Elephas maximus indicus: one gene and its partners. The protein of the gene in region 2 interacts with the protein of the main gene of each other region in a biochemical or structural test. Links are inferred from orthologs where the notes say so. Each region holds a gene or a part of one and is shown on either strand. Other genes may lie near its edges. The genes, in order: CSTB, CTSB and CSTA.

Region 1 (10,320 bases), on a different chromosome or scaffold from region 2:
AAGTCGCTATAGATGGGGGGCGGCGGGGGGGCGGGGGGTGGTGGTGGGTAGACACACAGACGGCTGGGAAGCCCAAAGGCAGGATGTGGATCTGGCCACCTTGGTCAGCCCCTGCACAGAGTAGGGCGGGGAGGGAAGAAGAAAGTTCTGGAGGGAAAGTGGGAGAGCTCCTCCCCTCGCCCCGGGTCTGTCTCCACAACCCTTACCCCAAGACACACCTACCTGGGTCTGCCCCACTATCCTGTCACCCACACAGCTGAGAGCTGAGACAGGTGAGAATGAGCCTGTGCCACCAGACAGGTGACCCGGTGCAGGCAGTCCTCCTGGCCACATAACATACTTGACCACAACCTGCTGCCATGGAGCAGCCCAGGGGGACACAGTGGCTCCCGGGCATAGTCAGGCTGTGCAGCTGGGAGAGGACTTCAGAGCACTCTCCCTGCTTCATTCTTAGATCATTATGCCAGTTGAGGATGAAGACAAAACACACAACAAGAGAGGAAGTTCTCAAAAAGACTTTAAAAATAGATACTTAAAGATAATATCTAGCTTTCTTTGGAAATCATTTTGTTCAGGTTATTGGTGAGCACTGGTTATTGATTCGCTCTGAGTATTCACTGGAATACAATGAACAATTACAAACAGACACAAGGGAAACTGTTGATACCCTCCCACCCCCCAAGTGGCACAACATGGAGATGACGTTTATTTTCTGGCCCCAGGAACACGCTCACAGATGACAGAATCATTTCCACATACTCGTCATGTGGACAAAGGGCCCTACTCAAAACCAGGAATTAAAAATACGTCAGTTCGTCATGCTTGGCCTTGTTGGTCTGGTAGCTGGTCAAAGCCGGGGGCTTGTTTTCATGAGGCAGACTCTGAAATACTCGCAGGTGCACGAAGTTATCATTACCCACGTGAACCTGGGGAGAGAGAGGTGAGTGAGGGGCACAGGCACAGCCTCGGCCGAGTTCCCTCCTTTCCTCCACTGAGTGCAGGCAGGGAAGGTGAGGGGATGCAGCCCTGGACTGTGTGGAAGCCAGCCCGCCCAGTCCTCCACAACTGCCCGGTCCTCAGGACAACTACCACCAACCTCCTTCACACATGGCAGAAGCCTGTGACCATAGCCCACTGTGCTCAGCTTGCCATCAGAGCCTCAGTCCTTCTCTTCAGCATGCAAACATTCATTTTAGGGGCCTACGACCCCCCTGAAGCCTGGAGCAGCCACAGGACCCCCCCACTAAGCACCTCTCCCATCATGCTGCCACAGTCTCATAAGCTGCTTCCCCAATGAACACCCACTTCAAGTCAGGCACTCTTCTTCCCCCTGATAAAGATGCCCACCTTGATAAAATAGTTTGTCCCAGCAACCACCTGACTCTTGAACTCCACAGCCTTAAACACAGGGAACTTCTTGTTTTCCTTCTCTTCAAGCTGGGCCTTGACCTAGGGAAGGGGAACAGAATAGAAAAACCTGGTGGTTTCCCTTCTGCTAGAGGGACTCACACACACAGGTCTCATGTCTCCTGTTACGTTTCATAAACTGAACTCCAACGTCAAAGCCTTTAAGTATTTTGTACAACGCGATTGGTCTTTGTAACTTTTAGCTCTAGTGATAAAAAAACAGCACCAAAAAAAAAAGCATACCCTTCTTATTAATTCTACCAAAGTTTTAATGATAGTTTTACCTTTCTTTTCTAGGCGTGGGGCGTTTTCACATTTTTATCATTACAACAGCATAGCCAAGCTTCATCCTGGGTTTTTCGGGTGTTTTGTTTCTTAACATGCTGTGAACAATTCATCTGAAAGGCCATATGTAACTTATAAAGGCTAATCTTCCATTTCATAGCTGCGCCTTAATTATCTTAACCATTATCCCTACTGTGGGCACGTAGGCTCTTTCTCCTCTTTGCTGTTCTCAGTGATCCGGCAATGACTCTGCAGGAGAAAGGCACTTTACCTGCATGTTCAGACGACTCCAGGCCACAGTGCCATCCTAACCTAAGTATTCAACAGTAAGTGCACTTTGATCCAATTCTGTTTTCTAGGGTCTTTGTTTTTTAACAGATGATCAGCTTTACGGTAGAAGGAGAGAGAAAGTTTGGTTTTTAATCTCACTGAGTTTAAAGATGCCCTGGCTGCTGTCTAGATTAACTGCTGGCACTCAGAGTATACTGATTCACTCTGGAGTGATGTAGCTAAACTAGTCACTGGAGGCTTAGAGTGTTGAAAGAAAAAAGCCGTGAAAGTGCTTTAGTTGGGGGATAAACGGGTCACCTGGAAAGGACAATGTTAGTTGGGAAATAAGAGGAGTCACCCGGTATTTCATGCCACTGAGTCACCACTTGATCAAAGGTTGATGCTTCACTGTAGCAACCTCCTTTGTGTGCGGCACTGGGCTAGGCCTGCAGGGAACCCACAGACGAAGGCAGTGTCCTCGCCCAGGCAAAGGACACCTAGAACAAGTGCGTGCCACCAACACCCTGGCCGGGGAGGGAGGGGTCATAGAGAAGGAACCACCTCTTTCTTTGCCTGTGTGAAGGGCAGAGGCAGGAGCGGCCACCCTCTGCCAGAAATGGTGAGAAAAGTGAAAATGAACCCGAGGGGTGCCAGCTGAAGGGAGGGAACGTGGAGGCCCTGAGTGCCAGGCAGGCCACTGCTGACGGGGTGACAGCTCCAATTTAGTAAAGGACAGTGACAGAAGGCATGTAGGGTTCGTGAGGGACGCTGTTATGTTAACAGCCCTCAGGAGTGGGGTGGGGCAGGGCAGGGGCACAAGAACAGGCACAGGGAGGATACTCAAGGACAATGTGGCTGTCACAGAACCTGTGGTCTCTTAAGTCCTTCAGACCTTGGTCAGTCTGCACCTCTGACCTCGCCTTCCCCATCTGTAGGCGGGAGACAGCAACACACACACTGAGTGCTCCTGTCTGGATTCAACGAGGTCAGACAACAGACATGCTCAGTATACGCTCCTACCTCTCTCCTCCCCACCTTCTCTCAGAAAACGCCTGGAGGTGGGCCAGCTTCTGTGATACCTTTTCTGAATTTTCTCCCGACAGCAATGGCTACTGCCCACTTTCATGTGACAGACACCAAATTAAGGATCCCCTTTGAGATAACAGAAGCCCTGGTGGCACAGTGCTTAAGAGCTCGGCTGCTAACCAAAATGTCAACAGTTCAAATCCACCAGCCACTCCTTGGAAACCCTATGGGGCAGCTGTACTCTGTCCTATAGAGTCTCTATGAGTCAGAACCGACTCGACGACAATGGGTTTCAACAGGTTTTGAGATAGCAAGGAACCCTGATGGTGCGGTGGTCAAGCCCTTGGCTGTTAACCAAAAGGCTGGCGATTCGACCCACCAGCCGCTCTGTGGGAGAAAGATGTGCCAGTCTGCTTCTGTAAAGATTACAGCCTTGAAAACCCTATGGGGCAGTTCTACCCTGTCCCACAAGGTCACCATGAGTTGGCAGGAGTCCCTGGGTGCTGCAAATGGTTAACATGATTGGCTGCTAACCAAAAGGTTGGAAGTTCAAGTCCACCCAGAAGTGCCTCAGAAGAAAACTCAGCCACCGAAAACCCTGTGGAGCACAGTTTCTTCTCTGGTCGCCACAAGTTGGAGTTGACTCAATACCAACTGGTTTTTCGTTTGTTTTGAGACGACAACGCTTCTATCCTGGCTGCAACAAGAACTTAACACATACTCGAAGTTCATGCTGCCTGGTAAAAGATGCTGACAGGTGAGACATTTCTCAGGCCTGGAACAGTAGGAAAGTGGTCAGGAAGGCCTAGGCCTAGAGGGTTGGCTATGGGGAAGAGTGGAGAACACTCTGCTAGGCGCGGCTCACACAAGCCTGCATGCGTGCTCTGGACAAATTCCGCATTTTCAACCGTCGCATGGGTCTGACTCACCGCCCTTTATTGCCCGATGGTAAACCACCTGCGCAACTGTAACATGGGCTGGGCTGACCACATGCCAGAGGATTTATGAAGAAGTGGCTGCAGGGAGGAAAGCTAAAAGAGGAAGAAGTTTATTTTACCTTTCCCTGGGGAGTTCTGATGTGGGCTGAATGTTTCTTGTTTACTGACCAGTGTGTAAAGAATTGATTTTGTTAACATATCATGGCAAGTAGAGCAAACCTGATTTAAACGGAATACTAAGCACTTTATACTCTTAACTCATTTAACCCTCACCACAACATTTGGAGCCAGACACTGCTACTACACCCACTTTAGAGATCTGTAAACAAAGGCAGGGAGCAATCAAGGAGATGCTCAGGTTTTAGCCAAGCTCTGCACCTGCTGCAATCCAGCCTGTGCCTGGAGGGGCCTCCTGTCACTAGAATTGGCTCGTTTCCAAGCAAAGGGCAAGGTAGTTTCCCTTTTCTCCCCAAGTAATTCAGGGAAGATATATTTGAGCATCCCCCCCGTAGCACCCCCCTTTTCCCTTGCCTATTTCTCTTTTGCTCAGCTTTAGGAAGGACCGGCTCCGCCCAACGCGGCGGTGGCGGCCTCGATAGCAGTCCTAACTTCCCAGCAAACTCCGCGCTGTCCTCTGGCCCCCTTCCTGGGTCCTCCTTTGGGGAGGACTCCCGTGCACTTGTCTGGAATTAAATTCGGGGCAGGTGCACCCCGTCAGTCACCCTCTCAGCCCCCATCAGCAAAACCCTGGACCTCTCCGACCGGGGGTGGGGAGGGGTCGGCTCCCAGGCTGCCCGGGGGTCTCGGGCCTCACCTTGTCAGCGATCTCCTGGGTCTCGGCGGTGGCTGGCTGCGTGGCGGAAGGCGCTCCACACATCATCTTGGCGGCGGGACTGGAGACGACCGGAGCGGAGCAGACAGCCTGTGGACACAGCCGGCCAGACAGAAGGGACAAAGCGGTGCCACCTTCCGGGCGCTAAGTAGGCGGTGGCGGCGGTCACATGACGGGCAGGAAGCAGGTCACGTGAGGGGCGGGCGTTAAGGTCACCTGAGGAGTGGGCAGAACCAAAGCCCGCGGCGGGGGGCGAGGCCGACAGGTGGCCACCGCCCGTTAGGAACTGGGCCGCAGGGCAGGGGCGCCGTCTGCAGACGAAGGCCCCGGGTTCTGTAGGGGAGCGTCCCCCCCACTTGGGGTTTGGTGTCTCCCTACCCTGGCGGCGGCCCAGTCACAAGGGGTGGAGGGCTCCTTCCCCGAGACGGAAGATACCGGAGCTATCCAGCCTGGCTCGACCCTTGACCCTGACCAGCTTGCGTTTCGGGGACAGGGCTGGCTCTGGAATAACCGAGACAATCCGGGGAGACGGCCCTGACTGACTGCTGCCTTGGAGAGAGGGAGCCAGGAGGAACCGGGGACGGGGCTGCCTGAGGGCTTCTCCCACCGCGAGGGTCAGAAGGCACGCACCCGCCCTCGGCCCCGGCGGTCCCCCGCGTCCCCCGCGTCCCGCCCGTCTTGGGCCCTCCGTCTGCAAGGCCTGACCCAGTGGCCCCCCTCACCCTGTCCCCACCCCGTGTGCCAGCATGTTGTGTCGGCCGCGGTGGACATTGCAAACAGACCGGCTCCTTAAGGGCCCGCACAGGGGGACACACAGAGCAAAGACTGAAATGGATGGACCGGAGGCGCAAAGGGGGTCCAGCGAGGTTGGCTGTCCAGGGTGGAGGATGTGAGTCAGGTCAGGGCGCAGCAGAAAAGGGCTTGGTTCTGGCAGGATTTGTGTTAGGGATTTAGATTAGACTCAACCACCTGGAGAAGGGATGGGTCCTCCTTGTTTGGGACAGGTGTGGGCCTTGTGCTAGGAGCTGTTGTGACATGATGGCCTTTCAGAAAGTCCCAAACTCTCCCCTTCAAACCCCCTCCAGGGCTACGCCTTTATGCCTGGCACCTCACTGGGAACTGGGCAGATCCCATGAGGTTCTGCTTCTCAGGGGCCAGCCAGGGCCTCAGGGCAGAGCAGGAGTGGTCTAAGAACAGGTGGGTGTGGGAGGTGGGCGTTTCTCTACCTGCAGGACAGAGCCCTGACCTGGAACTTCAGGTGGGGTTAGAGTCCTGGGGCAGGGAGGACTGCTGAAGGAATGACAGATTTGACCCCACACAAATGGAAAACTGCTCTAAATGGAAAAAAATAATAAAGGCTTTGGAAGGAGGGAGAGGAAGGCCAATCTGTCACCTTTTTCCATCCTGCAGCTGCCAGGCTTGGATCCTTGTCTTGCAGAAGGTTTTGACCTAAAGAAGTCACCTTGCCTCTGAGTGGGTCTGCAGGTGCCCAGAGTTTACAAACAAGAGAGTAACCCTGTGGAAATAAGCAAAGACACCTCCCAAATGAGAACAAGCTGGCTATGTATTCAGAGCTACCGTGGCGAGGGAGTCAGCCACCATCGCTTGAGTTTGGCAAAGACTCAGGGGGAGACAGCGGAGTGGGAAAACTGGATAAAGCTGTGGAAAGAAGGAAGGCTCAGGTGTGCCCTGGTGGAGGGAGTTGGCATGGGAAAGCTGGAGGTGGGCAAACTAGAAGCATGTGTCTTGTGTGGTTCAGGGCCTACTTGGCTTTCTCTGGTTGATCCTGGTGGTGCAGTGGTTAAGAGCTCAGCTGCTAACCAAAAGGTCAGAAGTTCAAATCCACCATCCGCTCCTTGGAAGCCCTATGGAATGGTTCTCCTCTGTCCTGTAGGGTCACTATGAGTCAGAAGTGACTCGACAGCAATGGGTTTGGTTTGATTGATCCTGAGATGGAAGTGGGGACACCAAAAATAGGGAACTGGCACTCACTCACCAGTCCTGACTGTTTAGGGCTCCCAAGGTCATGGGTCAGAGTTCTCTAATCACCTATGGTCTGTCATCTGTTTGCATCTTCAGTCTTTCATACCTGCTTAATGGAATCAAAGCTGCCTTATTGCTGCAGGTCTTGATATTTTTAAGCAGGTGCCATGGAGGGTAGGAGCCCTGCCTCTTACCTGCTGCATGGCTTTGGAGTAATTGCTGAACCTCTCTGTGCTTCTCTCTGGGGACAACTTATCACCTACCTCAAAGAGTTTTTCAAGGACTAAATGAGTTAATAAGTATAAAATACCTGGGCAGTGTCCGAGCTCTGGGGTGAGCTGTTAGTACTGTTATTGTCTATAATCAGTATACTAAGCTAAGTCTTACTTACCTATTACTAGTATTACTTTTTCTATCCAGAGGCCCTGGAAAATACCGACATTTACCTCCAATTCCTTGATTCAACAGTTTTCCATCTTACTGAAACCAGGAGTAAAGACCAAATATCCTGTCTCCCTAGGCCTATCTCAAGGACTTTTGAATATCATTTACATATGAAATTCGTATTCAGAATTCTAAATGTAAACTATTTTTTCTTTATTTTTTATTGTGCTTTAAGTGGAAGTTTACAATTCACATCAGTTTCTCAAGCAAAAAGTTATACACACAAGGTTATGTGACCCAAGGTGCTCTCCCTACAATGTGACAGCACACTCCTCCACTCCACCGTGTATTTCCCATGTCCATTCAGCAAGCTCCCGCCCGCCTCTGCCTTCTCATCTCGCTTCCGGACAGGAGCTGCCCACTTAGTCTCATGTGTCTACTTGAGCTAAGAAGAAGCACACTCCTCACCAGTATCATTTTCTGTCTTATAGTCCAGTCTAATCTTTGTCTAAAAAGTTGGCTTTGGGAATGGTTTTAGTTTTGAGTTAACAGAGAGTCTGGGTTCATGTCCTCTGGGGTCCCTCCAGTCTCAGTCAGACCATAAATCTGGTCTTCTTAAATATAGACTATTTTTGAGATTTCATTTGTGAAATCTCTGGTTTTTCTAGGTTAAGTGGGTCCCATGGTTTCTTTTCGCCTTGTCTCATCATCCCTTCTGCCCAGGCAAGACAATTCGGTTTGGGTTTTTGTTGTTGTTTTTGCTCTGCTTGCCTTTAACACTCTTGACAAATGATGCATAGACTTGTTCCCTATTCCAAAATCAATTGATTGTGTTTTCATTATGCAAAAATTTCATCATCAGAATGTGTTGCTAGTTAAATTCTAGCCAGAGAAATTCATTGACTAAGAGGAAAAAGAAGGTGGGCATTTAAGACAAAGCATTTAAACAACTAAGCGTTTATCAACTTGCCAGGAACTAGGGTTAGGATTTCAACCTATGTTATGGGGGGACACAATTCAATCCATAACAGGGACGTTCTCCTACATTAAGGGTTAGCAAATTGTGGTCCACGGGCCACATCTGGCCCCTCGCCTGTTTTTGAAAATAAAGTTTTATTGGAACACAGCCACACCTATTCACGTACATATTGTCTATATGGTAGCTTCTTTTGCACTGCAACAACAGAGTTTGACCCACGATGTAGAAAATATTTGCTATCTGACCTGTGCAGAAAAGAGCTAGGACAGCAGGCCTGACTTCTGTCCTTAGGGCAATGTTCAAGGCTGGCCCTGAGCTGCATCAGGGAACTTGGATTTTGGAAGGGTTCCCACTATCCCCTGATAAGCGAAGCTCCCTGTGTGCCTCAGCTGTGTGTACAAACGGGGTGGTTTCTGCTGAACACCTGCTTTCCTTCTGCAAGTCTGGAATTTTGGTATGTGCCAGGCAGAGGGTGCCTACGTGACTTGCGCCCAATCGAAACCCTGGGCACTGAGTCTCTAATGAGCTTCTTTGGTTGGTACTATTTCACACTCGTTGTCACGACTTAAGTGAGTCCTGTGTGACTCCATGGGCGAGGACTCTGGAAGCTTGTGCCTGGTGTCCCGCAGGCTTCATGCCATGTGCCTTTGCTCTTTGCTGACTAAATTAATAATTGCTTTCATATCCAGATGCAGAGAGAGAGCCCAGCCAGAGCACTCACACATACACATTGGATGCAGGCTACACCCCAGGGAAGAGCATGACTTGAGTGAGAGTGGGACTTGAGTCACAGCCTCCTCCAAGGCTGTAACTCAAGATACACCCCACTCAACTCCTGCCTTATTAACATATGTTGTTGTTGTTAGGTGTTGCTGAGTTGGTTCTGACTCATAGTGACCCTATAGGACAGAGTAGAACTACCCTATAGGGTTTCCAAGGAGCAGCTGGTAGATTTGAACCTCCAACTTTTTGGTTAGCAGCTGTAGCTCTTAACCACTATGCCATCAGGGCGCCCATTAACATATAGAGGGTAGGACTTACAACACATAAAATGGAGGATAATTACATCAGATCACAAAATGGAGAACAGCCACTCAGTACTGGGAATCATAGCCTAGCCAAGCCAGCACACAACACCAACCACCACACCTCACTAGGGTTTTTCATATGCATTATTTACATGGCTCTACCCAAGCACTGTGTGGGAGTCACAAAGACTATGGCTAGAAGGGCCATATTTAGTAGTTCACTGCACCGCACTAACTTTGCTCTGTGTCCTTTCGCTGTAATGAATTATAGCCATGAGTACAGCTGTATGCTGGGTCCTGTGAGTCCTAGTGAATCACTGACACTGGGGTGATCCCAACACATTGCCCTTTACAGAAAAAGCTTGCTGCCTCACACTTCTACTTAAAGAATACTATTGCTACATCTAAGAAAATAAACATTCTGTAATATCATCTGTCTTACTCATCTACTGCTGCTATAACAGAAATACCACAAGTGGATGGCTTTAGCAGTTTATTCTCTCCCAGTTTAGGAAGCTAGAAGTCTGAGTTCAGGGTGCCAGCTCTTGGACTTTCTCTGCCAGTTCTTGGGGAAGGTCCTTGTCTTCAATCTTCTCCTAGTTTAGGAGATTCTCAGCACAGGGACCCCAGGCCCAAAGGACGTGCTCCCCTCCTGGTTTTTCATTCTTGGGAACATGAGGTAACTCTGTCTCTATGCTCGTTTCTCTCTTTTGTATCTCAAAAGAGATTGACTCAAGATACAACCTAATCTTGTAGATTAAGTCCTGCTTTATTAGCATAATTGCCTCTAATCCTGCTTCATTAATGTCGTAGAGGTAGGATTTACAACACCGAGGAAAATCACAGCAGATGACAAAATGGTGGACAATCACACAATACTGGGAATCATGGCCCAGCCAAATTGATACACATCTTTGGGGGCACATAATTCAGTCCATGACACCATGATTCCCACCCTGTCGGCAGAGGCCTGCCTGGCTCTCAGGGCCTCCACGTTCCCTCCCTTCAGCTGACACTCCTCTGGTTCATTTTCACTTTTCTCACCATTCCTGGCAGAGGGTGGCCGCTCCTGCCTCTGCCCCTCACACAGGCAAAGAAAGAGGTGGTTCCTTCTCTATGACCCCTCCCTCCCCGGCCAGGGTGTTGGTGGCACGCACTTGTTCTAGGTGTCCTTTGCCTGGGCGAGGA
Region 2 (10,824 bases):
CTTTTGGGAAGATAGCAGGTCCCTGAGGACAATGGAAGTATTGAATGAGGACCCCTCCCAGATCGAGCCCTATGCAACTCTTCATTTGTATCCTTTCTGGTTATAATAAATGGCAGCTCCAAGTATAGATATTCTTTTGTAAATTTTGTGAGCCGTTCCAAGGAATTAACAAACCCACAGAAGGCAATGAAAGCCAAATAGGCATTTACCTATTTGGCAATAGGAATGACTGAGTCCTTCTAACTTGTGTGCTCTAACTTAGCTCAGGATAGCTAGGTCAGAGAAAAGCTGTGCGAGCAGTCGATTTGGACAGAGTCCTTCAAACTTATGTGTCCTGACCTGGCTCAGTGTGGCTAGGATTGGAGAAGAGCTGCACAGGTAGTCAATAAGAAGGGCAGAGTCCCTCTAACTTGTGAGTTCCAATACAGTTCTAGCTGGTTGGAGGGAGAGTGTGCCATTCATTCAGGCAGCTAGCAAGGAGGAAAGAGACATGGGAAGGTGAGGACTGGATCCACTTCCACGCGGGAATTGGATTCATGCTGACCCTTACCACGCAATTAGCAATAAAAGTGGGATCTGCTCACCTTGCCCATTTATTAGTGTAAATAGTTTTTAAGGGGTTGTTTTCATTTTAAATTTTGTTTTTGTTTTGTATGCTTATAAGACCAGAACTTTTGATCCAACATGTTCTAATGAAAATTTTCAGACTGAAAGAATTTTACAGTGTATTTTACAATGAATACTGATATACCCACCACCTAGATTCTACTGTTCCCGGGTGGAAACCCCAGGTTCTGCTCAGCATGACTTGTTACAGACAATAAAGAAGAAGCTGAGGTAGGAGAAGAAAGGCACCTTTATTTCGTTGTCAAAGGAAAGGAACAATCAGGGCTGCTGGCTCCAAGACTGGTCACAGGAAGCTTAAGGAGGTGGGCTTTTACAGAGAGCAGACAAGGACATGCGAATTCATCACGAATATTCTGGATTGAGACTGACCTTCATGCAGGCACTCAGGGCTTTGGGATGACTATGCATTTTTTCTAGACAAATGTTCGATCCCTCAGGATGGAAGAAGAGGTTGATTTCCCTTTATTAGCATGTTAAATCTTCACCCAGGGGTGGGGTGAGGCCATCTATGATCTCTGCTATGGATATCTCGTCAAGGACAACTTAAGAAGGATGCGCAGCTTATTCTGCTCTTTATAGGAGAATAAGCCAGAGAAGGTGTCTCCTAGAAGGGGTGGGCTCTGAGGCTGTCTGCCTCACTACCATTAACATTTTACTGCATTTGCTTTTTTATCATAGATTATCCATCTATCTGAGCCTCCCTCCATCCATCAATCCATCCTTTTTAATGCATTTCAAAGTAAATTGCAGATACCTGTAACTTCCCTCTTTCAGAATCCATATCATTAACTAGAGTACGGGATTTGTTTAACAGTATTTTCTTTTGATATAAAGCAGACATGCAGTACAATGCCAAAATGCACAAATCTTAAGTGAATATTCTGAGTGTGCTGAAAAATACATACACCTGTGTAACCCAAAACTCTATCAAGAAGATGGTCATCACTCCAAAGTTCTCTCAGGCCCCCTCCCAGTCAATTCCCACCTGCACTATCCCCAGAGGCAACTACTGTTAAGACTTTTGCTCCACCATAGATTACTTTTGCCTGTTCTAAAACTTCATATAAAAGGAATCATACAGTATGTACTCTTTTGTGTAAGGTTTCTGTCATTCAGCATAATGTTTTTAAAACTCATCTATGTTGTTGCATGTGGAACAGGCTGCTCGGCCATGACATGAACAGGATCTAAGCCATTTTTCTCTCTTCTAAACTTATTCTTGACTGCTCAGTTCCTTTTTCCTTGTTAAGTTTTTACTAATGACTAATGTCCTTTTCAGACTGTAGAAACAAATGATATGATCTAAGGAAGTCTTATGACCACTGAAATCACCCCAGGAGACCCATCACCCCCTGGGCAGATGATACCTTGGGACCATAACCATCAAAATCACCTCAGGAGACCAGTCACCCCCTGGGCAGATGAGATGATACCTTGGGACCACGATCACCAGAACCACCCCAGGAGAGAATTACATTCCACAAGTTCCTGAAACTCATGATTTTGCCCTATAAATTTTTGAGCCAGTCTCCATTTGGGGGAGACAGGCTTTGGAGGAGATCATTCCCCTCTGTTTCCTGTGATTAATACACATTAAAGCTCTTGCTACTCACCTCGCCCTGTCTCAGGAATTGGACATCTGCGGCAGGCGGCTCTGAGCCACAAAATTACAGTAACATATGGAAACCCCGGTGGTGTAGTGGGTAAGTGCCACAGCTGCTAACCAAAAGGTCGGTAGTTTGAATCCACCAGGCACTCCTTGGAAACTTTATGGGGCAGTTCCACTCTGTCTTATGGGTTGTTATGAGTCAGAATCTACTCTATGGCAATTGGTATGGTATGTATGTTGTTGTATATAACATAAATAGATCCTTTTTTATTGAATATCCTGGGTGGTATTGTTGAATATCCTGCAGCTTGTTTATCCATTCTCCTATAGGTGGATACCTGGACTGTTTCCAGTTTTTGACTATTATGAATAAAGCAGCTATGAACACTCCCGTACAAGTCATTTTGTGGGCATGTGTTTTCATTTCTCTTGGGTAAATACATAAAATTGAAATGGCTGGGTCATTAGGTAAAGATATATTTAGGGTTTTGTTTTTAAAAAACTGCTAGAGTGTTTCTTAAGACAACAAAGTGCCTATACCATCTTACTTTCTCACCAACAATATACGAGAAGCCCTGTTGCTCTATATCCTTGACATTTGGTGTTGTTGGTCTTTTTAGTAAGACCAAAACTTTTATATATCTGGATATGGGCATTAGAAAATGGGAGGGGATGTACCATCACTTAACTCTGTATTTGTGGGGCACTGTAGTTGATGCTTTACGTGGAATCTAATTTTAGTCCTCCCAACAACCTGTGACATAGCTATTCTTCCCCGTTTAGAGGCTGGGAGAAAGGAAGTAACTGCAGAATGAGGATTCATATACAGGTTCTTCTGGCTCCATTTTTTATTTCTTTTTTCTTTTCTTCCCCCACATTGACTGGGACTAGTGAAGTAACAGGCTGTTAAGAAGGGAGATCCCTGTGCAAGGAATTGTTGTCAACCTTTTTCCGTTGATTAGAGCCCTACTGGAAGCTCAGGAAATTTTGGCTCATGGTAGAATATGGTGTTTCTGGCCCTGAGAGCTTGGATGACTTGGGATCGGGAATCGTGAGGAAGGAAAGAAATCGTCTTCCAAGACCTGCTTCCTTCTACCTGCTTGCGGTTCAAGGCGTTCAGTCTCCTAAAGAGCCTGAAAGTGAAATTAGGGGCCTAAGAATACCTTTAATAGGTTTGTATGCTGCCCTAGGCCTCTGAGGAAAGATAACTCTGGGACTGAATGGTACTGACTGCAACTAAAACTCCAATTATAAATCACCATGAGTCAGAATCTACTAGAAGACAACTGGTTTGATTTGGTTTGGGCTTAAATGATATCCTCAAAATAGCCTGTAACCATGGTCTGACCCAAGATAACATTCTGTCCTTAGGAACGACTAGGAGTCCCCTAGTCAGTTCCCACCCAGCCAAAGCGGCCTCAAAAGATAGGCCTGGAGAATTGCTTCCGAAAGGTCATAGCCTTGAAAACTCTATAGAGCAGTTCTACTCTGCACACATGGGGTTGTCATGAGTCGGGACTGACTCAACAACAATAGGAAACAACTGTTATGAAATCAAATCCCACTTCTCTGAAACCGAGATAAGGAATATAATCAAACCAATTCCAATCTATTCCTAATTGCAAAGGCAATACAATACTTCTTCCTCTGACCCTAACCACCTGGAGCTAGGTCAGACCTCATAAGTTAAAGGGCACAGTCCTCTAGACTGCCAAGTCTTCAGATGCTACCCTGCAAGCTTGGTAGTCCCTGGGCCCCCTCACTTCTGATCTGCTGGCTTCCACTACTCCCTCAGGTTTGATAGTTTGCTAGAATGACTAGGGAACTCAGGAAAGGGCTATACGTACTATTAACCCATTGCTGTCGAGTTGATACCCTATAGGACAGAGTAGAACTGCCCCATAGGGTTTCCAAGGAGCAGCTAGTAGATTCAAACTGCTGACCTTTTGGTTAGCAGTCAAGCTCTTAACCACGGTACCACCAGGGCTCCTACTTACTATTACACTGTTATTACATAAAAAAAGGATGCAAATGAAGAGACAATGCATAGGGAAAGCCTGGGAGAGTTCCCAGTGTAGAGCTTCCACAGGAAGTGTGCCAATGGGACCCTGTGGTACTTTTCCAGGTTACTTACTTGCATTTTAACAACAATCTCCTGAGGACAAAACACCTTGACCAAAAAAACAAGTCACTCTTTGTTACATCCTAAAGTTCCATCACAGACTCTCTGGCCCATGGCATTCATGAGTGAGGCATGCTCTATGTGGCAACTCCTGTTGCCTGATGAAGCAGAAAAGAGGCAGGGGCCTCAGATTCACTCAATCTAGAACTTATCTGAGTGCCTTTTTCTTCATCTGTATAATGGGGAAATCTTTCCTATATGATACGGTTGTTTAAAATTTTCTTAAAAAGATGACAAGAGTCTATTCATAATACCCAAAACCAAACTCATTACTAGCTGAATTAATTTCAACTGATGGTGTCCCCATGTGTGTCACAGTAAAATTGGGCTCCACAGGGTTTTCAATGGCTGATTTTTCAGAAGTAGATTGCCAAGCCTTTCTTCCAAGGCACCTCTGTGTAGACTCAAACTTCCAATCTTTCGGTTAGTAGCCAAGTCATTAACCGTTTGCTCCACCCAGACACTACATCAGGAGTCACCCTATGGGTAATAATACCTGGGAGTAAGAACTGGCCAATACCAAATCTGACTCCACTGTCAGCTATTAAAGAACTCGCTGAATATCAACAGAAAACACTAATTAAAAATCATTCGACCAAGGAATCTAATTCCCTGGGATTTGGAAGCTGTCAGAAGGATGTCTGTGGAAGCCAGATTTACAAGAGTTTGTAAAATAAGGGGAAAATAAATCAGACATTTCTTCAAAAAAATCACCTTTTTACAGAAAAAAAGAGATGATAAAGCAAACTGTTTCTACTCTATCAGCCTCTCCAAGCCACTCACCCAAATAAACTAAGTAAAAGCAATGTACTTGCTGTGCATGCATGACTTCAAGACAGGTCTTCTGACGCCCTTCTTCTAACCAGATTTTGACCCCTAAATGCCCCCTCCTCTATAGAAATTCTGACGCAGCTCCTGGAGTTGGTACTCGATGGTAATAGCTATTCCTTTCATTATTACATTGCTGGAGTATCCTATAGATATCTCAAGATATCAACGCTAAAGGCTAACGTTAAAAGGCTATTCTGTGAGCTCCCGGAGGCCGGCTGTCTTTATATCCCCAACACTGGCAGTGGATTCTGAACGGAAGAAGCGACAGCGAGTCCTTCCAATGCAGGGATTCAGCCGGCTTGAATACAGCCGCGTTTAGGCCGCAGTGGCCTGGGGAATTTCACTATGCTGGGTGGAGTCTTTTGGGGGTGGAGTCCCGAGTTCCTTAGGACCACCTTCCGCTACCAAACCTAGGGAGTCCTTCTTTATGCCTCCCCCAGGCCCCAATCCCGCAGATTTTCCCCTGTCCTACGGCAGAAGCTGGGTGGCTGCAGGCTTCGGTCGGAGCCGCCACTTCTGGAGCCCGGCCTGGGGTTCCGGATGCCCCCTTCCTTGGGCTGGCGACCCCAGCGGCGCGGCCTCTCGCAGGACTTAGGCCAATGCGGGGCCGCTGGCGCCAAGGCCGGGAGGCCTCGTGCGCGGCGGGTGCGGAGCCCAAGCCTGGGCGTCCGGGCCCCGCAGCGGTCACGTGGGAGAGTCAGCCGAGCGGGGCGGGGCGGGGCTGGGCCGGGAGAAATAGGCGCGCCGGGCGGTCTCCGGGAGGATACCGCGGCGGCACCGGGATCCGGCGGAGTACGCTCGGCGGCTGTAGGCTTGGGCTTTCGGCGGCGAAATTCGGTGGGTGCAGGCGGAAGGGCCGGGGCTGGCGGCGCGGCATCTCCGCGAGCTAGGGTGGGTTCTGGGTGCTTGCGGCCGTGACGGAAGTGACCTAGGGAGGGGGATGGGAGCGCCTGGCGGGGCCGCACCGAGACCTGGGTGGCTGGCTGCGCCCCCGCCACAAGTGCCCACGCCAGGCCCAGGTGCCGCCTGGCTGTGTCCCTGGGAATTGGCAGGGTGGGGAGGGGGTCGCGGCTGGCGGTAAGCGGGGACCCTGGGGGCTGTCGTTGCCAGGGCGAGCAGAAGTGGCACCCAGTGGACCCCTAAAAGTCGCCGTAGTGAGAAAAACAAAAACAAAATATGCAGGCAGCCAGACACCCGTCCCCCCACTCCGGCCGGGAAGCTTCGGCTCCCCGGCCGCTTGCCCCCCAGGGTTGTGTTCCGGTGAGCTCTCCAGTCCAGTCAGCCCAGTGACACCACGATCAGCCCAAATCCATAGCCCGGTCCCAGAGGCCGCTACACGCCGAGCCCGGGAGTTTGCGGGGAACTCCAAGGGAGGATCCTTCGAGAAAGAGTATGGCCGTATCCGGTGACTTGGCCAGAATCTGGCTCCCTACCCAAGCCCTTTGCCAGCCGCGTGACCTTGCACAGCTTACTTTTGGGCCTCAGTTTCCTCAGAGCAAATAGCTGAGTTAATATTATTGACCTAAATCTATTTTTGTATTTTTCCTCCTTATTTCAAAGGGTTTGCCAGTGCAGCTTTCTGCACACAATCCCACACAATTCCAGGGACCCCAGAGGACAGGGTCTATTAAAAACAGGAACCTAAAAACTGGGTGGAGTAGGATGGAACACAAGTGAGTTAAATCCATAGACAGCAGAGGGGAGACTAAGCAGAGCAGAAGGATAGGAGACTGTTGTTGTGTTCCCTCCGTGGATTCCGACTGTTAGTGGCCCCATGTGACAGAGTAGAACTGCCCCATAGGGTTTCATAGGCTGTAATCTTTTAAGGGAGCAAATTGCTACTAGCTCTTTCTCCCATGGAGAAAGCTGAGTGCTTGACCATTGTGCACCGGGGCTTCTTGGAGACTGTATAGGGGGTGTGGAAACCTTAGACCCCACTCTCCCTGGGGACGTAGGAGGGAGGAGGAAAATGCTGCTCCCTACTCCTGGACTCCAGTAGAAGGAAGACAGTGCCTCCAGGCCCAGGGTAGTGTGGGAGAGTGAGTCCCTCAGTTAAGGACCCTGGAGGCCTGAGAGGGAGTAGCTAGAGACCAGTGGGAGATGAGTGATTTGGGGGTTCTTCAGGGAACATGGGATGAATAGACCAGATGGATGTGAATTGAACTTTGCTTAGTGGGCCAAGCTCAACCCCTTCCCCAGGCACTAGGAAGGTCAGTAGACTGGCACTGGGAAAAGGACCATAGCCCAGGCCCCACATCCCTCCAGCTGACCCAATGGAGATCTGCATATCCACTGGGAAGGGGAGGTTGTGGGGCTCAGAGAGAGACCTAGCACCTTTTGATCCCTAAGTGCCCACTACCAAAGGAGAATGCAGCTGAAACACATTCTATATTCTATATGACTGCATCTAGGTGGATCAGTAGATTCAGAAAGAAGGTGGAGAGGCCTGGAAGGGTGCCTGGTTCAGTAAAGGACACTTTCTTATTCTTCACAACTTCATTTCCTTTAATAGATAATTGTTCCCTATTTGTACTGGTGATGATTGACCTAGGGCCCTTGAGCCTTGAGAAGAAAGGGGCTTTCCCAAAGAGAGAGTTTGAGGTGTACTGGAGAAAAGTGATTTCCACCCTAACCTTTTTGGGCACTTGATCTAGAGCTGGGGGCACTCTTGGGTGGAAAGATGCAGATCGCATATCTTGGTGCATCACAGGCTTGGTGGAGGTGACACAGGGCAGACACAGCCCTGACTCCCCTTGATGTTGTTAGGACAACGCTGTTTTCAAACTGGTCAGGTGATAAGGAGTAGAAGCCCTTTGGCTCCAGGAGGGAAACTGCCTATCTGGTGCTGGTTCAGCAGCTTGGGCAGAGGCCAAGCTCCTTTTTCCCTTTGTAGACAAGTTCTTTTTTTCCTTCCCCAGCCGCTGTACCTGTGAGTTAGAATAAGAAGTTATACACATTTTAGGGGTGAAGGATGTTTTATATTACTATTGGCAGTTGGATTAAGTGGAACAGAGACCAAGTTTCAGGGGAGCCTTGGGTCCTTAAATGGCATGGGTATCCTGTATTGTAGAAAGTTGGAAGTTACTTCCTGGTCAAATAAGTAGGGGCAACCTTTGCCTTTCTAGAGACCCTGGGTGGTGCAAATGGTTAACACCCTTCGCTGCTAACCAAAAGCTTAGAAGTTCGAGTCCACTTAGAGGTGCCTCGGAAGACAGGCCTGGTGATCTACTCTGAAAAAATCAGTCCTTGAATACCCTGTGGCACACAGTTCTACTCTCATACGCATGGGTCACCATGAGTTGAAATCAACTCGACGCCTGGACTAGTTTTTGTCTTTTGAAGTTACAGAATCTTCAGGACATCACTAGAGCCTCCTCTAAAATGGCTTGGTTAATCAGGGAGGTGCAGAGCCCTTGCAGCTCAGCCTTTCTGGGCCTAGGGTAGTGGTCAAAAGGGAAAACACCTTTTCTATTCGCAAGTAGAATATGTATCTCCACAATCTCACCTCACTTTTAAGAAGCAAAGAGATTTTCGACCAAAATTTTACATGCATTCAGAACCATCGACTAATTGGCAGAGGCTGCCTTGACTCCATTTCCCAGAAGGGAAGTATGGCACCGACTCATGGTTGGTGAATCTGACTCAGAGAAGGAACAATATCTGTTCTTTGAATACTTTTACTAGGAAGGTTTCTGTTTTGCGGTGCTGGCTATGCGTTTAGAAACTATACATTCATTGTAGATGGTGTTTGCAAATCATAGAGCTGGAAGAGAAAGAAGGGGAGATAGGCAATGGATGACAAAATTAGGAAATCAGTATATATCCCCCCACTCCAGCTTTGTCCACCAAAAGGTTCTAGAACCAGCGTTGCTCCAGAAGCAACAGACAGACCTATCACCTTGATTTTGATTTCTGAATGCCACTTCTCACTAAAATCAGAGCTCCTTGAAGAAATGGCTGTTTCCAGGTCTGGGGTAGGGAAAGTATAGAAGTACACCTGGAGCATCTTGCATCACAGAGCAAGGAAATCCTTGAAGACTAATAGGGTCCCATCTAAAGGATTGGAAACCCCAGTGACGTAGTGGTTAAGTGCTACAGCTGCTAATCAAAGGGTTGGAAGTTGGAATCCGCTAGGCGCTCCTTGGAAACTCTATGGGGAAGTTGGAAGTTACTTCCTGGCCGAATAAGTAGGGGCTCCCTTTTGTCTTTGTGGAGACCCTGGGTGGTACAAATGGTTAACACCCTTGGCTGCTTTTTATAAAGTAACTCCAGCTAATTGATGTAGAAAAAAATGAATAGAATTATAAATTGACCATGATGTAACTCCACTGTGATAACTGATACATGATGACATCATGAAGGGTGCTCAGTCATCCTTGGATCATCAGCGATTCTAACTAAAACCCATGGGTGAAAGGGTATTGGTGAAGAGGATAGTCACATGGTATCAAATTGAAGTATTATCCCATAGATTACTTACAAATTACAAAAAGGAAAGAGTTGCAAACAGTAATGAAGAGATCTGGCAGTTGCCATCTTAAACAACAAAGAGGTCAAGCTTGGCATCAAGTCCTGACATTATATGCCTTTAGACGAGGTATGGTGAATTTACCTAACATCACCTATGGAGTGGTCTTGCCAAAATGTTTGACCCAACTCTAGTCGTGAGAATAAAAGTTAGATGAATCCGGGATGTAGAACATTCTGCAGGAAAACTAGCCTGGACCTTTGAAAGGATTCAACCTCTTTAAGAGTGGAGGGAACAGGGGCAGGACTGGCAAAGAATGGGGAAGATAAAAGAGATAGAACGGTCAAATTGCATGGTTGTGTAGAATATCCCTTGTCCTGGGGAAATGTTATATAATGGACTGATATATTTAGAGGTGAGGAGTCACAATGTCTGTCGCCTGTTTTTGAGAATTTGGCGCAAGAACAGGATTAGAAATATATGAGGTTGAACTATATGAAATTAGAATTTTTATAGCTTATCTTCTCTTGGTTTATGCCCTCGTTTTGCACACTCCATGACCCCCTAAGAAAGGGGGCATGGGAGGTGAATGTTAAGTCCTTGCATGGCTGTAACCCACCCTACTTTGAGTGGAGTTTTTTTTTTTTTTTTTTTTAGGAGGTATAGGAACCAAATTCTATTACATTTTTAGACTTTTAAACAATCCTCATGTGTTTAGCCTCACAGCTCATCCCCAGCTTCCACTTCACCAGGTGCCTCTAAGTCTTAGGCTTGTCTGGGGTTTGCAGGGTGATTGGGCTCACTCTTCATGGTGGCGCCTGTCTGCAGGCATCAGATTTCACTTCCTCTGCTCTACTATGTCAGGTACCACTCCTGTGCCTGCTTTTTGTCTTCCTGAGGGGCACTGGTGTCTCCTGTCTACCCCTCTTGTCTTTGTTAATTCTCCTGTGTAGTTTTGTACTTTTTATTACTTTGTATCAATCCATAAACTTATTTAATGTTTAAATGTTTAAGAAATTATATAACTTGCATCATACTGCACTTACCCTTTTTCACTTGTGTTTTAGAACTTTATATTGGTACATAGAGTTCACTCATCTTGCATGC
Region 3 (10,506 bases), on a different chromosome or scaffold from region 2:
GCAAGAGACCTCCCCTCTTTCAGCTTCTGTATCCTCATGTGTAAAAAGAAGGGCTGAGTTTAAATCAGTAGTTTCATTAACCAAAGAAAAAGGGGGAAGGGAGGGACTGCAGACCTTTCTTTTTAATTAATTTCTATACAGAACCCCAGTTTATAAAACAAGAGTTGCTCCAGTGGAAGCAGGGATGGGAAGCCACGGCCCATTTCTCTGCTCTTCTGCCGCATCACCGTCCTCTCCAAGGTGGCCTCTGAGAGACCTCCAGCTTCCACTTGCCGTAGTAGATAAGGGTTCCGTTGAACAGACCTAGAATCTGTTCCAGGTGAGTTCATACATTCATTCAACAAATAGTTTTTGAGCAATTACTAAGTGCTGGGCATCTTGCTAGGCACCAGGATGATGACAGGGGAAAAGACAGCCAGGGCAGGCTCCTGCCCTCACCCAGTATTTGCAATCTAATGGAGGAGAAAGAGAATAGGCAACCATTTATTCACTCAGTGCGCATTTATTGAGCGCATACTATCTGCCAAGTGTTCTAAGTTCTGGATTCTGGGGCGATAGCAGTTATTGTAGGCAACAAAAGTACAAAAATAAAATAAGTACACGTTATGAAAAGGACTATTAATGAAACAAAGAAGGTGACATCATAGAGACGAGTTGGAGGTGGCGAGAGGCCTCTCCTAAAATTAGACATTTCTGCTGAGAGAAGAAGGGTGAGAAGACTCAGTGAAGAACCTGGGAAAGGCCCATCCCTGGCTGCAGAACACCAAGTGCCCAGAGGCGGAGGTAGAGACAAGCTTAGCCTGTCCCCAGAGCTAAATGAGGCTGGTGCACCTGGTCTCATCAGATGATTCTCGTGAGATGAGGTTGGAGAGACAGGCAAAGACTGAGTTATGCAAGGCCTAGTCCATGGTAAGGGGCTTGGGCTTTTTATTTTATTTTTTTTTTAAGTTCAGTGGGAAGATACTGAAGCCGTTCGTCCAGGGGAGTGACACCATCTGACTTGTGTTTACAAAAGATCACTCTGAGTCTTGTGTGGCAAAGAGATTATAGTCGGACAAAAGGAAAGAATAGAGACCAGTCCCGGTTTTTTGCAGTTTTCCAGGCGAAAGAATCAGGTGGTTTGGGTAGGAACAGTGGCATGAAGAGATAGAAACAAGATACATAGCAATTTTTTAGCAAGAAAAGAGAATTTTCTGATGGACTGGATTTGGAGACAAGGAAATAAAGCATGATTCATGTTTTCTGGATTGAGCAGCTGGGCGAATGACTGTAACCTTTACTGGGAAGCAGAAGACTCTGGAAGGAGGAGTCACTTGTAATACAGGGTGATGTCTACACTACAGTTATGACTGAATACAGAAAACGACTCATAGCCAAAGCCCAGATCTTTACTCAAACCTAAATCACTCCAGCTGCTTCCTGCCTATCCCTCACCGTGGTCCTCCACACAGAATTTTATTTGTAATATTTCATTGTTCTGATCCACCTCTTTACCCCCCTCAGGCTCTGGAAGAACGGTGCCTTGGCTCTGGCACCATTTATTGATTCTCCTTCTTGTATGACAAACTACAGAGAAACAAAAGTTGATACTGAAAGTTTGTGGAAGGTACAAAAGTTTCTTTGCCACAAATCACAAAGATTTAGTTGTTCCACTTACAGTCTCCGGATCCAGATAAAAACGGAACAACTAAATCCTTATAATTTGTGGCAAAGAAATTTGCAAGAACGAATCATATTAAGATAGGAATTATTCAATTTATTTGAGTATGTAGTTTTCCATTTTTATCATTTTAAACCTTTTAAGGAAGCAATAATAATTTATTGAATCCATAAAACCAGTGTAGGAAAATTAGAAAATTCATATTACTTAGGCTTTTTATGAGAAAACAACTAGTTATTTGTCAGAAAACAGCTAGTTTTCCAGAGTAAGTCTTAATCCCATTAAAGTGTATCAGAAAATTACTGAAGTATTTTATCGAGAAGGCTAATTTCTTCCCAGAAAGAGATGATGAGTTAGGTCATGCCAAAAGGTTCTGTCCTGGGCCATATTTGAAAACCATTTATGTGAAATTCTTATACTTTTTACTAACGAAACAAGACAGAAATTGAAATTATTGGTGACAACATACTAAAACACAATGGATTCAGATTAAACAAGACCTTCATCTACCCAGCATTGCTTTTTGTTCTTTGTGCTCCAAAGGCCACTGATATGTCAATATTCTCCAACCCCCTCTCCTGCTTCTTCATTACTGGGATGATAATAGCCAGTCTAGCATTTTTTTATTTCCTAAGACTTTTTTTTTTTTTTTAATTAAGCTTTAGATGAAGGCTTACATAGCAAATTAGTTTCTCATTAAACAATACACATATTGTTTTGTGACACTGGTTGCCGACCCTGCAACGTGTCACCACTCTCCCCTTCTCAACCTTGTGTTCCCCATTTCCATTCGTTCAACTCTCCTGTCCCCTCCTGCCTTCTCATCCTTGCCCTGGGGCTGGTGTGTCCCTTTAGTCTCGTATACATGGTTGAGCTAGTATGTTATTGTTTGTTTTATGGGCCCGTCTTATCTTTGGCTGAAGGGTGAAGACTTTTTATAAGGTATGATTGAAAATTAAATTTCCATGACTAATGCCACTCTGAAAATGTCAAGGCCCTTTATTTCTGATTTCCACATTATATTAGTAAGAACTTGACTAAATTCTTTTGCAAGGTCTTCATCCTCCCCAGCTTTTGCCTAGAAGGGGAGAGGCGGTCTTCTTTTCCCAATTATGTCTTTATATTTTCAACATCGACCTTCTTGTTTAAACCTGCTCTTCCTCCCGTATTCCCAGAGTCTACTAATAGCACAATCATCTTCCTGGTCATCCAAACAAAATGCCTCATTCAGTCACCTGACTCCCTTTTCTCGCCCCACTCACCTAATACTATCTTTACAAGTTGTCCATACCTGTCCCATTCCTCTCAGCCGATTTGCCGCAACATTGAATTATGCTCTCATTAACTTTTAATTGTTCTATGGCGGTAACCTCCTAGTTGATCTTTCTTTCCCCAGGATCTTTTCCTCCAATCCAGTCTACACGATGCTTCCAGTTTTATCTTCCTAAAGCACAGGCAGCCTCTGTAACAGCTCATAATTTTCGGTGACCTCTACTATCCAACAAATTAAGTATAAAAAATCTTACCTGGCTTTCCATGACCCATCCTCAGTCAGCCTTCCCTCCTGCTTTCCCCCTTCAGGAGCAGAGCCAGGAGTGACTATGTCCTCCCCTGAGCCCACACAGGGCCCTTACAACTGCTTTTCAAGCAGTACGTTGACAAGTGGTAGTGAAGACTTTACTGAAAAAATGTTAGAGGACACAGTGTAAAAGTAGGACCAAGAGACACAGAAAGTGTTCTCCTTCAGATTATAAACTTCTTAAGGGCAGATGTGCATCCTCAATTTCCCCTATTCTTTCAGTCTCTAGATTTTATTTATATCCATATACTTATATTTATTAAATGGTGTATTAAAAATATTTTTGAGTGTATCGGAATACTTCAAATACAAGTAACAGAATACCCAACAGTGGCTTAAACAATACGAGCATTTATATGACTTAACAAGAAGGCTGGAATAAGTGACTCCAATTTAGCAACTCAATAATGTCCTCAATATCCTCTTTCCATCTTTACGATCTGCCATCAGGGGCTTAGCAAATCTCCCTCATGGTCACAAGATACCTGCAGCAGCTCCAATCATTCCATCCTCACGGGACAATTCCAAAAGCAGAGAGGAAGAAGCAGGAGCTTTGTCCTTGCACATGTCTCATATGGGAAAGAAAGCCTTCCCCAGGAGCCCCCAACAGGTTTTTCCCTTAGATCTCATTGGCCAGAACTAGGTCATGTGGTCTTCCCAAACTGCAAGGAATGCTGGGAAAGTGAGTATCTGGTATTTTCAGCTTCTGTTGAGGGAGGCAGACTCTAACCATGAGGAGGAATGGAGAGGGATAGCTGTAGGGTAGGTAGCAAATTCAGTGAGAGAGTACGGTACATTCAGACTTTTTTTCACTGTGTCTTGCACAGTCCTAGAGCCCTGATGGCACAGTGGTTAAGAGCTAGGCTGCTAACCTGTAAAAATGCCATCAAGTGGATTCCGACTTACAGCAACCCTATAGGACAGAGTAGAACTGCCCCATAGAGTTTCCAAGGAGCGCCTGGTGGATTTGAAATGCCCACCTTTTGATTAGCAGATTGTCTTAGTCATCTAGTGCTGCCATAACAGAAATACCACAAGTGGATGGCTTTAACAAAGAGAAATTTATTTCCTCACAGTAAACTAAAAGTCCAAATTCAGGGTGTCAGCTCCAGGGGAGGGCTTTCTCTCTCTGTCGGCTCTGGAGGAAGATTCCTTGTCATCGGTCTTTTCCTGGTCAAGGAGCCCAGGTCCAAAGGGCGCGCTCTGCTCCCATTGCTGCTTTCTTGGGAGTATGAGGTCTCCGACTCTCTGCTTGCTTCCCTTTCCTTTTATCTCTTGAGATATAAAAGGTGGTGCAGGGCACGCCCCAGGGAAACTCCCTTTGCCTTGAATCAGGGAGGTGACCTGGGTAAAGGTTGTGTTACAGTCCCACCCTAATCCTTTGAACATAAAATTACAATCACAAAATGGAGGACAATCACAGAATACTAGGAACCATGGCCTAACCAAGTGTGTGTGTGTGTGTGTAGTTATTTAGTCATATATTTGAATGTGTAAAGAATAGCTCTGAAAGATACACAAGAAGCTGGCAACAGTGATTGTCCCTGGAGAGAATAGAAGGGGGGCTGAGGGATAGGGTGGGTGAAGAAACCTTATATTGTAACCGCTTTTGTTCATTTTTATCATGTGTTCGTGCTACATATTCCAAAAACTGAATCAAGTAATATAAATAAATATTTACACAACATAACAATTTTGCTTCTGCCTGCAGAAGCCCTCACACATGTACAAAAAGGGGGAAAAATATTGTTTATAAGGATGAAAAACTAGAAATGACCAAAATCTTCATCAGTAAGAGACTAAGCATGTAAAAAGTGGAGTAGTCATGATAGAATAGCATATAGCAGTTAATGGAAATCAGTTAGAGTCATCTAGCTATGTATCAAGGAGCACTGGTGATGCAGTGGTTAAGTGCTTGTCTGCTAACCAAAAGATTGATGGTTCAAACCTACCAGCTGCTTCTTGGAAGAAAGATGTGGCAGCCTGCTTCCGTTTCCAAAATTTATAGCCTTGGCAACCATATGGGGCCTATAGAGTTGCCCTGAGTTGGAATCGACTAGGTAGCAATGGGTTTTGGTTGTTTGGATCTAAGTATCTACACGGAAAGACTCAAAAACATGTTGAATGAAAAAAAAAGCATAATACAGAATATGTGTAGAGTATACCATTAAGTAAAATTTTAAAAATATTTATGTTGAATTGGGAAATGTGCTACGTACATTTTTATAACAATAAAAATTTTTCTGTTAGAAAAAAAGTTCATTAAAACGATAAAAATCAATTAGAGAGATACCAAACTCACAATAGTAGTCATTTTCATGGAGGGCAGGGAAGACTTCAGGTGTATATACCTGTAATATTTATTTCTTTAAAACGACTACAGAAAAAGATAGAAATCAATCGTGATCGAACGTTAAAAATTTTAATTCTGGAAGGTAGGAATGTAGGTGTTTGTTATTTTGTGTTTTGTGTTTTTCTGTATGTACTTTCAACATTTCTTAGAGATTTAAATAAAAGTAAAGTACAAATATCTAGCCAAGGGTCTCCAAATAGATTCTTTTCTTTTCTTTAGAAAGTCAAGCAAATCCTAACAATCACCTTTGATACTACTAACAGGTATTGGTTAAAAAAATAAAATTTTGTGTTAAAGGTTTTAGAACACTTGGAAACTCTGGTCCTAGCTTCAGGTTTCATACCCAGCTTCCCAGGACAAAACCATTGTCCAAGAGAATGTAGGGAAGTCTCATTCTTGATACAGCATGACTCTTCGTGCACACCCATTTGGTCATCCCCCAGCCCCTTTTCCCAAACCTATATTACGACACTTTGTCGAGGAGGCAAGAAGACTTGTCTCAAGGCATACTCGTTTTCTGTGTGCTGTTTTGCTCTTTGTGGAAATAAAACATCCCATAGGCGGAGCTTGTGAACACCTGTTTAAAAACTCATGTCTCGGCACTAGCCTGATCATTGACTCCCAGCATTCTGTTGTGCAAAGAAGCAATTAGCCAAAATGATGCCTGGAGGCTTAACAGAAGCTAAACCTGCCACTCCAGAAATCCAGCAGATTGCTAATGAGGTGAGTTGATGCACCCCATGAAAATGTTTGATCCAAAATCCTGATTCTTGCTTTGGACACAAAAATCTAGAATCTTGGGGAATATGTGGCTTTGTCCAGGCTTCCTTACAGCTAAAAATGTAATCCTGAGCTTCTCAGATGAGACCTCTAAGAACCCCAACACTGTCAGAGTGCCTGTGAGCAAGGCACATCCCTTCTCTGAGCCTTAGTTTCCCCATTTATAAAGGAGGAATTTGTTTCGGACCATCTCCAAAGCTCTCCCAGCTCTTCCGATGTCTGATTTTGGAATTACTCAGTTTCTGATGAAACTTTTCTAATCTCACCGAGTGGTGCCACCATGTAATTAAAGGCTGTTAACAATTAGCCTTCAAAACGCACTAGAGGGAGATTTTTTAAACGGTTTGAAGAACAATATTGTAAAGGTGACCCTCTTACAAACCTTCTACCAATTCGCCTAAATAGTGTTTTCATCTTTTCGTTAGAGGATGACAAAACTAGTAGAAAGGGGCATAGTCCAGGATGATTTCACATGTTACAATTTGATTATGGTGAAAACAGAGCTCAATGTTTTTAACGAGTTGATACTTTTTTCTAGGTGTCGTTTGATTAGTTATCAACTAATCATGATGTAATAAAATGTCATTGTACTGTACCACCTGTGACAGGAAACTACATATAAATCACTGTTTTTGCTTAGTAATTTGTTACCTTACTTTCTTGTATCATTCCTTCTGGATTTTTTCCTCTAAAACGTCGTTCCATGACATTGCTTGGCAACAAGATCATCTTCTTGTGTGAGTCCACTCAGGTTGTGATCCTCTGCATTGAAAGACACTGGAAAGCTCTCTAAGGGGCCCAGATATCATTCATTCTTTGGGGTTAAATATTTCCCTTTCCAGGGTTCTTTAAAGAAAAAAAAAACAAAAACCTTGAAGCTTGTTTTTCTTGGAGAAGTTAGTAGTAAGTCAATAAAAAAAAAAGACCAAACGCATTGCTGAGTCAATTCCAACTCATAGTGACCCCATTGGACAGGATAGAACTGCGCCTATCGGGTTTCCTAGGCTGTAATCATTATGGAAGCAGGCTGCCACATCCCTCTCCTGCGGAGCAGCTGGTGGGTTTGAACCGCCAACGTTTTGGTTAGCAGCTAAGCAGTTTAACCACTGCACCACCAGGGCTCCTTAAATCAATAATACATATCAGGAATCCATGGGTGATACAAACAGTTAAAGTGCTTGGCTGCTAACCGAGAGGTTGGAGGCTGGCGTGCACCCAGAGGTGACTCGGAAAAAAGGCCTGGCAATCTAACTGCTGAAAAAAGTCTACCATCGAAACCCCTATGGAGCATAGTTCTACTCTGATATACATGCAGTCACCATGAGTCTGAGTCACTCGTTGGCAACTGTAAAAAAACAAACATATTAAGTCATAAATACTGTCATTTGATTTCCTGTAAGAGGTCACTGTTCTCAAACTTGAATGTGCTATGATTCCCTGGTAGTCTCGTTAAAATGCAGATTCTGACACAGTAGGTCTGGGGTGGGGCAAGAAAAGTTCTCAACTTCATTTGTAAAAGACAACCCCTCTTGCCCTGCCAGTCTCAGAAATGTACAGATTCAATGAGGTAACGTGCACAAAAAATACTGGAAAATGGAAAAGAAATATGCATAGATGGGACATTACAACGTTTACTTCAAATTCTTACCTGGAATCATCCCTGACCCTGGAAAATTCCCCTGAGACTCTCCAGAGACCAGAGCTATAGAGAGGTGGGGAACAATTAAAAAACAAAAGCCTTGCCAGGAGTCAGTAACTCATAGTGACCTTACAGGACAAAGCAGAACTGCCCCCCACAGGGTTTCCAAGACTGTAATCTTTTATGAAAGGAGCCCTGATAGTGCAGTGGTTAAGAACTCAACTGTTAACTAAAAGGTCGGCAGTTTGAATCCACCAGCCACTCCTTAGTAAACCCTATGGGGCAGTTCTACTCTATCCTATGGGGTCATTATGAGTCAGAATAGACTTGATGGCAACGGGTAATCAATCTTTACGGAAGCAGACTGCCACATCTTTCTCCCTCAGAGTGGCTAGTGGGTTCAAACCACTGACCTTTTGGTTAGCAGCCAAGCACTTGACCACTGTGCCACCAAGGCTCCTTGGGGAACAATAAACCAAAACCAAACCCAGTGCTCTCGAGTCGATTCCGACTCATAGCGACCCTATAGGACAGAGTAGAGCTGCCCCATAGAGTTTCCAAGGAGCACCTGGTGGATTTGAACTGCCGACCCTTTGGCTAGCAGCCGTAGCACTTAACCACTATGCCAGCAGGGTTTCCTGGGGAACAATAAGGGTTTGGAATACAGAGGACACAGAAAGTTTTAATGATTTTTTTAAAAAAAGCCTATCATCTGGTTAGCAAAAATAATTTTATTTTAAACAAGAAACCTCCAGAATATCTTGAATTGTTAGTAACACCCATCTGTGAGCCACAACTTGAATTATAAAATTAATTTGAAAGTCTGTTTCTTACTGTTTACCTCAGGCTCCAGCTCCGTCAGAGAGGTAGAGTGAGAGATAGGTATTAACAATAGCCCCCAGAGATCTCTTCTTTTTCCCAGAGATGCCTCGAAAGAAAGGCCTGAGGATCTACTTCCAAAACACCAGCTATTGAAAACCTTGCGGAGTACAGCTCCATTCACTCTGTCATTTGATTTTCATAACCCCTGGGACAGCTAAGGAAGGCATTACATCCATTTTTCAGATGATGATCCTTAAATTGAAAAGGTTAATAGTCACCTAGTTAAGATGCTAACCTGTCTCCAGGTTTTCACTCTCTTGCTCTATCATACAATGCCAGGAGGGAAAGATACTGGTGGGAAAGTGTGCGATAAACTTGCCTGCTCTGTCCAAGTAGCCAGTCTTACATTTAAAACCATAAAAACCAAAAAACCAAACCCGCTGCCATCGAGTCAATTCCAACTTATTGTATTCCCTTGTTGTTGTTGTTGTTGTTAGGTGCCATCGAGTCACTTCTGACTCACAGCAACCCTATGCACAATGGAACAAAACACTGCCTGGTCCTGTGCCATCCTCACAATTGTTGCTATGCTTCAGACTATTGTTGCAGCCACTGTGTCAATCCACCTCGTTGAGAGTCGTCTTCTTTTTCGCTGACCCTGTACTTTACCAAGCACGATGTCCTTCTCCAGGGACTGATCCCTCCTGATAACATGTCCAAAGTATGTAAGACGTAGTCTCGTCATCCTTGCTTCTAAGGAGTGTTCTGATTGTACTTCTTCCAAGACAGATTTGTTCTTTCTTTTGGCAGGCATGGCATTCAATATTCTTTGCCAATACCACAATTCAAAGGCATCAATTCTTCTTCGGTCTTCCTTATTCATTGTCCAGCTTTCACATGCATATGAGGCAATTGAGAACACCATGGTTTGGGTCAGGCGCACCTTAGTCTTCAAGGTGACATCTTTGCTTTTCAACACTTTAAAGAGGTCCTTTGCAGCAGATTTACCCAATGCAATGCGTCTTTTGATCTCTTAACTGATGCTTCCATGGATGTTGGTTGTGGATCCAAGTAAAATGAAATCCTTGACAACCTCAAATTCCTTGAAAAATAAGGAAAAAAAAAAAAAGACTTCCTCGACTGGTTGAGACTAGAGGGCTCCCCTAGACTATCGCCCTGAGATATTCTTTAAACCTGGAACCCAAAATAACCCTTGAGGTCACCTTGTATCTAAAGAGATTGGCTTACAAAATAAGGAATCTCTCCCATAAGTACTATGCTCCTTCAAAAAACCAACTATATGCTTCATGGGAGAAGAATGTGGTCTGCTTCCCTAAAGATTTACGGCCCTTGGAAACCCTCTGGGGCAGTTCTACTCTGTCCCATAGGGTCGCTATGAATCGGAATCGACTCAACGGCAGTGGGTTTGGTTTTGGGGGTAACGGCGAAAGCTCTGACATTGTATGTAAATAATCATTAGATGAGAATTCTGTGTATGTGTATTTGCAGAAAGGAAATATCATTTCAATCATTTTTTAAAAAATAAGGGCTATAAGCACACATACACAGTGTGTACACACACACCCCTGTGTCATAAAATGTGGCTGCCGAGTAGCATTCCTGACAGCACACACAGACCATGATTTTTTTCTGCCAGAACATCACATAGACAC

The links.
Region 1: the proteins of CTSB (region 2) and CSTB form a complex in vitro, tested with the Homo sapiens proteins (2 studies listed by BioGRID). The link is inferred for Elephas maximus indicus from reciprocal best matches to the Homo sapiens genes CTSB and CSTB.
Region 3: the proteins of CTSB (region 2) and CSTA form a complex in vitro, tested with the Homo sapiens proteins (3 studies listed by BioGRID and IntAct, with this or other methods). The link is inferred for Elephas maximus indicus from reciprocal best matches to the Homo sapiens genes CTSB and CSTA.

What each region holds. Positions count from the first base shown.
Region 1 is NC_064820.1:227,910,925-227,921,244, forward strand, and holds CSTB (cystatin-B), read right to left. Parts: upstream 4,928-10,320; 5' UTR 4,807-4,927; coding exon 4,741-4,806; intron 1,450-4,740; coding exon 1,348-1,449; intron 927-1,347; coding exon 798-926; 3' UTR 501-797; downstream 1-500. UniProt on the Homo sapiens protein: This is an intracellular thiol proteinase inhibitor. Tightly binding reversible inhibitor of cathepsins L, H and B.
Region 2 is NC_064840.1:38,999,200-39,010,023, forward strand, and holds the start of CTSB (cathepsin B), read left to right. Parts: upstream 1-5,998; 5' UTR 5,999-6,086; intron 6,087-10,824. UniProt on the Homo sapiens protein: Thiol protease which is believed to participate in intracellular degradation and turnover of proteins. Cleaves matrix extracellular phosphoglycoprotein MEPE. Involved in the solubilization of cross-linked TG/thyroglobulin in the thyroid follicle lumen.
Region 3 is NC_064819.1:12,914,608-12,925,113, forward strand, and holds the start of CSTA (cystatin-A), read left to right. Parts: upstream 1-6,249; coding exon 6,250-6,315; intron 6,316-10,506. UniProt on the Homo sapiens protein: This is an intracellular thiol proteinase inhibitor. Has an important role in desmosome-mediated cell-cell adhesion in the lower levels of the epidermis.